Schizosaccharomyces pombe: one gene and its partner. The protein of the gene in region 2 purifies or fractionates together with the protein of the main gene of each other region. This does not show direct contact. Each region holds a gene or a part of one and is shown on either strand. Other genes may lie near its edges.

Region 1 (5,376 bases), on a different chromosome or scaffold from region 2:
TTACAAAACTATCTCATCAGTCATGGCAAAACTAGTGTTCAAGCTATTTGTTCCAAACTTCTTCAAAACTCAAAATAGCTTACACTTTGTTATCCTCGTATTTGTTTACTAGCCAGTCTTTTATATTATTAAATGCGTTGTCATGTATAGTTTGACTTCCGTTTGTTAGTCATTCGTTATTGCTTGGAAGTTTTGATATCCCATGTCTAATTTTTAGTCAACTCCAAACTAGATCTAGTCGTTCGTTTGCTTTATATAATTTTCAGTTTTTCACCTTAAAAATTTTGTTTGACATTTTCCGAATTAGTTTTCATCAAAAACTTTTGTCATCAGGTTGGTTAAGTGAGCTAGCTTAATTCGCAAACGCTTAGAAAAGTTGATTATTGGACTAATCTCACGTCGGTTCTACTAAAAAACAGTTTCTTGTCTCAACACATACAGTTTTGTTTACCGCTAAAGAATTTCTTATTTTCAACATATTTGATACTTTCTTTAATATTTTAAATTATGCACAGCAATATATATTTTCATTAAATCACACTGTAGTAAATTCTGGTATATAGACCCACTGTAAAACTCTATTTTCTGAGAGTGGATAAGTACTACTGCATTTAAATAAGGAGCATCAGTAGAACAACGGCATCATAACAAAAAAAAAGATGGAAACAAAACATGCAAACCCCAATTTTTTGGGAAATTTTGTAAAAAAAAAAAGAAAAGAAAAATTGGCATCCCGCAAATACGAATTAAGTTAAATTAAGTATTATGTGCTTTTCATGATTTCCTCTTCAGCAGTTGCTTTTTCCAAATTGTATTGGGACTCATCTGCCATGCTATAACTATCATGAACTTCCTTTTCAACGTCCTTCTTCGTTAACGCATCATTACGCTTGAACTCAAGTTGATTTTGTTCATCTTCCATAGCATCATAGTGGTGGAAGCAAACCCAAAACATAATACCAGCAATAAAGGCAGTGACGGCAATACCAGTGTACATCCAAGTAAGCTTAGGATTGACAGCAGTAGAAGAAATGCAAATAGATAGAATGGCACCGAATGCATTGGTGAACAAGAACAAAGCAGTAATAATGGATTTCATTGAAGGAGGGGCCTTGGTAAATGCAAATTCTAAACCAGTAATACTGGCAAAAATTTCAGAGAAAGCAATCAAAACGTAAGCAGGGATTTGGATCCAAACACTGATGTCATTGGAAACACATGTATCAGTAAAATTTGCATAGCAAGGGCCTCTTTGATAAATCTTTGCTTGTAAAACAGCAGCGTAAATCATGGAAGCAGTAGCAAACATAAACCCTAAAGTAATACGAAGGATGGGTTTGAAAGGGATGTTATACTTACGCAATAATGGATAGATGATATTGTCACAAATGGGAATGAAAATAATCAAGGCGATTGAATCGAAGGCTTGGAAAAGATCGTTAGAGACATTACCCGTTTGCATTTGTCCAGCTTGAGAAATTAAGTTGTTGGTCATTTGACCATAGCATACCCAATAGATAGGGTAAAAGAGAAAAGTTTTGCAGGCGCGTAAGGCACGTTTCAATTCGTCGATAAACAAGTCATCCCACTGATCCTTGAGCGTAACGCGTCCAACAGTAGTAGTGCAAGATGGTTTAGTTTTTTCGAGATTAAATTTGTTTTGAGCAGCAAGGAAGAACACTTGACCAACACGAACAAAGATGGAACCGGAGGGAGGAGTGTGCTTGTAAAAGCGCTTACTAACAGCCAAAATAATTAAGGGGATAACAAAGACGCACAAGGGAAGCAAGTATGCGTAAACAAAACCTTTAGTACTTTCCAAACTAGTGGTGGCTAATACGGAGAGAGAACCGACGTTAATTGACCAGTAGAAAATCATATAGGCACGAGAGGTGGTGACGACGGGGTCAACAATGACCTTGCTACCATTTTTCTTGGTCTTTACATAAGGAGGAATTTTTGGAAGCTGTTCAGCCATCAAGGGGGAAACATTGGATTTGATACCACCGGTTCCAAGACCAATGATGATCAAAGAGACGACAAACCCACCCATACTTTTTCCGGCATCAATGACAGAAGGAATAGCAGTACATGTAAGAATCAAGATACCAATAAAGTAAATGACAGCAGAGCAAACAATGGTATTGTACCTACCAAGGAATTGATCAGCAATAAGTGCAGCGCCAACCGGGGTGACATAACACCAAAATGTGAAGAAATTAGAAAGACCGTCAGCACCGCTTTCGCCTAAATTAAGGGCACCTGGAGTAGCATCCTTAGGACCGAATTGCATATAATTTTGAAAGGGAACAGTGAGACCATAGTAAGCGAAACGTTCGCAAAGCTCGACAATAATGATAATAAAGGCTTTCCAAGGAATAGTACCGCAAACACGAGGAAGGGTGGCTAATTCTTCTTCGGTAGGAGAAGGGTATAAGTCACCATTGACGAGGACGCCGGTGGACATGGATTTTTGGAGTTCATCGGTGGAGGATTGTTCGTCAGCGGTGTTGATGGTGGCAGAACCATCAGCCTTTTTCTCCTTGCTTAAGTAGGATTGATCTTCTGAAATGATGAAATCGGAGTCCGATTTCGTAATTTGTTCTTCAATGCTACTCATTGTAAACACAGGTAAATTGAATGTAGGAAATCGATCGTATGAAAATCAAAAATAATAATAAAAAAGAGAATGAACAGAAGTTTCAAGAACAATTTTTGGGTATAAAATAATTACAATGAAACGAGAAAACAAAAGAGGCGAATATTAAAAAAAAAAAAAGAGGAAGAGAAAAATAACGTAAACAAGCGAAAGATTAAAAAACAATTGTAGTACAAAAGATAAAAAAAAGAATAGATCAAAAATAATAATAATAATAATTAGTCAAACTAATTACACAAAATTGACAAGTGAATTCACAAAAAAGTTAAAATAAACACTTTTATATGTGTATCGAAGGCCGACTAACTCAACTAAGAGTAAGAAATATGAAAGTGAGTGAGAGTGAGAAAGGGTATTTAAAACAAGATTAAATATACACAACAACAAATAAGTATTTATGACAATAATAATAAAAAAAGAAAAATTTTTAGAATGAAAAAATTTTTCCTTAATGTATTAAATAAATACTTGGAAATTAAAAGTGTATGTATGTGAAAGTGTGGAGAAAGTCACAACTCCAAACAAAAGAGGTCAAACGATTAATTATACGAACGATGAGGAGTTTCCACTCAAGGTTTTTGAATTTCTCTTACTTCTAAAACACAGACTAGACGGCACGACGAAGGATGTCTTTTGAGGGGATAATTTTCAAGTATAAATACTGCTGAAAATGAAATTTGTCCACACTGATTTAGCAGTCACCACGTGTTCATGCACGCCTTTATCAATGACGGTGAGCAAAGCACGATAGGCGATAGACAAATCGTAAATGTAGGAAACGTGGTATGAAAAAGTTTATTATCTTCCCTACAGATAAATCAAAAAAGAGGGAGGACCGGTCTAGACTGCACATTTTTAATAATTAAGGTCAATGCGTGAAAGGTGGGTTTGATGGTTGATTGGATAAATCAAATGTTATTTCGGACAAAAACGTTAGTGCGGAATATCTATTTGATTAAAAATGCACGAGGAGTAACCATATCGCACAACGTGTGACCTGTTGGAAAAAGGGGTGAAAATTGGTAAATCCGCTGGAAATAGATAAGCTTGGATTTCTTCGTGTGATGCCGTTTTTTTCATCTACTCCACTATCATGCGGAAGGATTGCGCACTTGTTCAGTTGCGTGTTTTTGCTTAACGATAGAAAAAACTCGTGTACCTCCATTTAGGACTTTTGTGCCACCACATCGCATGGTTGAAGTGGAAAGTCGTACTTGACCGAAAAAGTGGGGATGAAATTGGGTACCAAGTGGGGTGCATGGAATTAAATGGTCAAGAGCACAACGTGCAGAGCATATGGAAAAAACGAGTAGCACGTTATAGTGCCAAAAATAGAAGTTTCACTACAGGAGTGAGAATGAGAGTGAGGAGAGGTATAGAAAGAATGTGAGACAATATAGTTAGTATATGTGAAAGTGAGAGTAAAAGGTATAAGTGTTACTATATGAGTATGGATGAGGATGAGGGAAAAGGTAGAAAAGAGATGACTGTCTATGTATTGTCATACATATTGTTATTTACAAACACATCCTCTACGTTTCTTATTCTCTCACGACGACATACAGGTGAACGAAGTTTTTCAATAATTTTAGAGGTTTGAGGGTTGAGTTGTATTCATTGCTTACTTGTAGTTTGCTCATTAATAATAATTACATATTTGTTAGATTCTTAATACTTTGCATATTTATTAAATTTATGTAATCGTTTGATGAGTGTTACATTGTTGTTTTTATTTATTTATTTAACCGTTGAATTCATTCCTTCTTCTCGACATCGGCCTTTACACCACGTTCGCGTGTCTCTTCTCTCTTGTTTCCTTCCCCGGGTATTCCGCGATTAGCGCTGGCGATTCACCAAGGTAAAACTATGTATGCGAATGGTGAGTGGTCTGCTGTAGCACGGTGTGTGCACGAGGAAACAAGGTCTTCTCTTTAAGAACCTCGAACCCGGTAAACATCGTGGGTGGCAGAGATAGTAAAAGCGACTAGTTCGCCTACCCCCACATGAATTGTCGCAAAGATGATGAGGGACGACAACAAGTAGGTAAGGTAAAGTAAAGTAAGAAAGGAAGAATAGTGATAGCATTAATAGTAGTGGGTATAACTGTCACGGAAATGAACATATCACACTCCAAAACGGACTTGTTGGTGTATGAGCAATTTTTCGCACCCATTTTCCCTCATTTTGCCAAATGAAACCATAATGCTGCAAGATTGCTGAAAGTATCGGGAAAGCCTAGTAAGAAATGGTCCAACTCGTTATGCAGCGATACCCTACCCTCCGTCAAGCAAACGAGATGGTTGTGTAAGGCGAGGCACAAGACTTCAAAAAGTATGCAAATTAGCAACAGATAGTATACCCTAAATTCCAAACGATATCTTCTATCACAGAATCAGATTTCTTATAGTAAGTTCATGATAACTTTGAAGAAACTTGAGTTTGATAGCATTAGTAAATAAATCCCCAATAACGAAGGAGTATGCAATGTCACATCGATATCTATGCTTCTAGCATTGCTGATTCTGACTTGACTTTTCTATCTCGTCGTCGGTGCACAAGTTGATACTACTTTGGCAGATGTTTCTCCTTTGAATTTATGAACTTTTAAACAAATTGCTTTTTGTTTCTATGCCCATTCCTTATCAATTGAAAAGGAGAGAGGAGAGAAAAGGAAAAAAAAAATTTGACCTCTTTTTGGTTTTTTGGTTTTTTTTTTT
Region 2 (4,200 bases):
CCACCAAAGCATCGGGATGATTTCTTTACCGATGAACGGACGAAAATGGTTTGAGGTCTCCTCAATTTAGTAGGTAGTGGTTGGATTGTTTTTATGAACGATCCATCTCATCACTTTCTAATGCGAGGTTGCATCCTTGACCAATTACCATCTAATTTTATGATATATAACGAGGTTACGTGATACCATCATATATATATATTTGCTCGACTTTTTTTACAAATTTTTTTCAAAAAGTGGGTGCTTATATATTCTTTGGTTCAAAATCTTTATCGATTTGAAGTAATGAAATATATTTTCCCTTATACCCTATATACTTTTTACTACCATATCTAGCAACTGTATTGTTTACATATAAGTAACGAGTAACTTAAAAACAGTACTGTAAAACAGTTAGTAGTTGTGACTTGGGTAACAAGTGTTTTCATCCACTGTTTGACATAGGAATGTTACAATGATGAAAACTCAAAACATTAGGATGGTGATAGAAACAACGGTAAAAAAGTTAGGATGTTTTGTTTATTGCCCTTGAATTCTTACTCGTTTCCTTTACCCTTATAATAATAATATTCCATATAGTTTTAGTCTTGTCAGGTTTGGTCAAAACGTGTTTTCGCTTATGAAAAGCAAAAACATTGAATGTTATTTTAAATTGGCATTATTTGTTTACTCTCAATGCCGATTGTTTACAATCTTTTCTGTCAGCTAGAATAGAAACAGGTTATGGAAAAGAAATAAAAATACTCTTAAACGATTTAAAGCGCGTAAATTTTGAAATAAGAGGGATCAAAAATTACAAGTTTGAACACGAAAGCGCCTTATGTGAATGTGAACAACTTAATTCTACCATAATAATTAACAAGTTAATAAAAGAACTAAAATAATGTTTCTACACATCTTCATAAATGTGTAATTTTTTAATATTAAATGTAAAGACAAAGCACAATGCCAGAAAAAATGAAGGACAAAAAATATTAGTCCCGATTTATATTTCTAGAATAGTACAATATCAACTCCATACCACGCCCTAATGTAAGTTATCTGTCACTTTAAACATAATATAAAAAAGAAAAACCTCCAACAATAAACATCATGTACAATGCCGTGTAAATCATATTTCCCAGCTTTCCTTTTGATAAGTTGATTTCCAAAAGCTCGGGAAATACGCCTAGGTAAGCTATATAAAGGAAACCACCAGCCGTGAAAGGAAGGAGTTTATCCTCAAGTTGTAGAAGGAAAGAACCATATGGTGAAGATGAAGATGAAGCAGTGTATATATATGTAGCGACAATTGCTCCCAATAATCCCGTCACCATAGTGATCATTTGCAACACGAGTACTTGCGATTTCGTATACCCATTTCTCAGAAGTATAGCCAAGTCACCAATTTCTGCTGGAATTTCGTGTAATAGAACAGCAAATGTGGTGGATATGCCAATGGAGGTATTGGTAAAGAAGGCGGAAGTGATCGCCAAACCGTCCATAAAATTATGAAATGAATCACATAACAAATTTAAATATACCACAGTTTTGTCGTTATACTCTTCACTAACTTCTTCAACTACATGTCTAATCAAATCAGGCTCGTGACCTTTAGAGTTCTGATCATCTTTGACATTTCGTTTCCGCAATCCTTCCACTCCTTTAACGTCAGTTTGAGTTGAAGAAGCAGAAGGTTTGTTTACACTTGAAGTCTCTTCACCGTCTTTCTTTGGCTTAGAGAGCGAAGACGGACGCTCATGTATTAAAATGCGGATTCCCTTATCCATTAGAAAGAATACTAGGGCTCCAATAAGGATTGAATAAACAGAAGATGCTGGAAAATCTCCTCCATTTGTCGAATACACAGTAGGAAGTAATTGTAGAAAAACATCGCCTAATAAACTACCTGCAGAAACTGCCACGAACAGATTTAACATACTCGTGTCGAACGACTTGGGAACAAGAAGAATAAAAATGTTAGGTGGTATTGCTGTTAAGAAAGTCGCGAGAATTCCATTCGTTCCCGAGGAGTAAGAGAACTGCTTCTCTACAAAGCTTTTAACTGAATTCAACCAAACGCAAGAATTGTTGTCTTTCTCTATAGTAAAAGCCTCTGACGATGATTCAGTATCAACAGGCAGATTATTCTTCAAAAAACTTAAGACGCTCTTCAAATCTTCGCGTGCTTTAGCAAGTTCTCCCTTACTAAGTTCAGCCAGAGTTTTTGAGGAAGAAAGCAAAGAGGGATCGTTTTCTGTCATTTCTCGGAACAACCTTTCTATAGTTGTATGATTAATTTTATTCATATTTTCCTGCGATAAAAAGGAGTCTCTATATTCCTCCGCTTCAAAATGTTTTTCTCCAAACACCGTTGTATAAAAACATGCTAGAAACAACCCATAAATGAAAAACCGTTGCAATAAAAACATTTTAAAAATAGTAGATGAAATCCCGTAAAAACCCAAATGCCAGGTTGATGTTTAAGGGGAAGGTGAATTTTGAAAATCTGTGGCCAAGGGCTATAATGCGTCAATACAGTACCAATAATAGGGTACTCCTTTGTTACTTGCCTACTCACTATTGATGTTACCTAACTTCCAAGTAATTATTTACAAAAAAGTTATTCGAATGGGAACTCGTTAATTCTTCCTTTAAAAGATGAATGCTTTATATTTACGACAAGAACTTGAAATCAATAAAAATTCGGGTGAGTAAATTTGGGTGTGTGTGCTTCTGTTATACTTCTTCCTTTCTAAATACAGGTAGATAATTGATGATGGAAAATGACTTTGGCAATTCATTTAAAAGGTTACAGCCAATGTTATAGGAATATGTTAAATTCGAGAAAAAGAAGAAACAGAAACTAATGGGGTTTATTTATCGCTTTTTCCAATCAAGTGCACCACACTTTTCGTGATTATACCAAGAGAAGGTACAGAACATGATGAAGTTATTAACGTTTAAGAGTTCTGAAAGCTCCTACTTTGCTAGTCAGAGGTTCTAAATTTTCGAATGTAATAACAAGCTTTCTTAGCGGTAATATTCTTCAAAAAGCCAATCTACCAATTTCGCTATTTTTGTTAAAAATTACTGCCGTTTTTCATGCTTGCTTATTTCAAGTGTTTCTGACTTTAGGTTTCACCTTTAAAGGACTTTAAATTGAATTAACGAGTTTTTCTATATTCGTGCATCCATTTATTTGATTCAATTCCATTTTCCACAAAAAAATCCACCTAAGGTTTTTGTCAATGAGCCTGTATGCAAAATATGTATGAACTTTTTATACCAGTGATATTCAGTAATTATTAATTATTGTTAAACCATTTTCGACCGGTCAAATACCCTATTAATTCTACGATATTTTAAGAGCTTACAAGTAAAAAAGATGAACATCCAAGACTCACTGTAAAATCGCACTGATCTACTTACTGTGATTTGATGAAAATGAATAATTTTAATTATTTCAAACCCTCCCAAAAGTGCCTCGCTCATCAATTCTAACGCCAAAATCGCTTTTTTCGTTCTCCACACCACATGAGAGAAACCTTTGAATCCAACAACTAGTTTTCTAAAATTTACTTATATGAATAATACTACTCTAATACTAAGGTTTTTAAAAACTTGTTCACCGTTCAAATGGGGTTGTTAAATATGTTTAGGTAACAATGTTGGGAAGGATGTGGTAGAAAAACATGAGATTTATTTGGCGAAACCGCGTTCATAATTCAAGAACCCAATTTTCTAGACAGTTTCATTTAACTGGTGATCTGAATCTTAGTTGTAAAAACGGAGAAATTGCTTTCTAACAAAATTTCAAAGTGAACATAGAACAGATGCTACGGATAGTTTAGCAATCTTTTCGTTTCAGTTTAGAAAATGTTGTATGAAAATATGAGCGATTCGTTTCTGCTGTCAGACGCTGGTTTGGAATTTGATGAAGCTTTGCTAGAAGTAGATCAGGAGAAAGATGATTACTTGGATGACTTTGAAAATTGGACGGTGGTACCAGTTGAGACGATTGAGGGTATAAACTATTATCCTAACTGTCTTCCCGAATCTGTCCAAAGAAATCTGATTAATAACGTTCCTAAGGAACTTCTTTCAATATATGGTTCTGGAAAGCAGTCGCATCTGTATATACCTTTTCCGGCACATATTAACTGTTTAAATGATTATATCCCTAGTGACTTTAAACAAAGGTTGTGGAAAGGACAGGAT

What was found.
Region 1: the proteins of zip3 (region 2) and ptr2 purify together in Schizosaccharomyces pombe (co-purification; one study listed by BioGRID). This does not show direct contact.

What each region holds. Positions count from the first base shown.
Region 1 is NC_003423.3:3,405,073-3,410,448, forward strand, and holds ptr2 (PTR family peptide transporter), read right to left. Parts: upstream 3,288-5,376; 5' UTR 2,621-3,287; coding exon 764-2,620; 3' UTR 503-763; downstream 1-502. Other genes in the region: bbl1 (phosphatidate cytidylyltransferase), read left to right, coding at 1-78. UniProt on the Schizosaccharomyces pombe protein: Uptake of small peptides.
Region 2 is NC_003424.3:5,316,150-5,320,349, reverse strand, and holds zip3 (ZIP zinc transporter 1), read right to left. Parts: upstream 2,476-4,200; 5' UTR 2,412-2,475; coding exon 1,050-2,411; 3' UTR 822-1,049; downstream 1-821. Other genes in the region: 2-oxoglutarate-Fe(2+) oxygenase superfamily protein Ofd2, read left to right, coding at 3,859-4,200.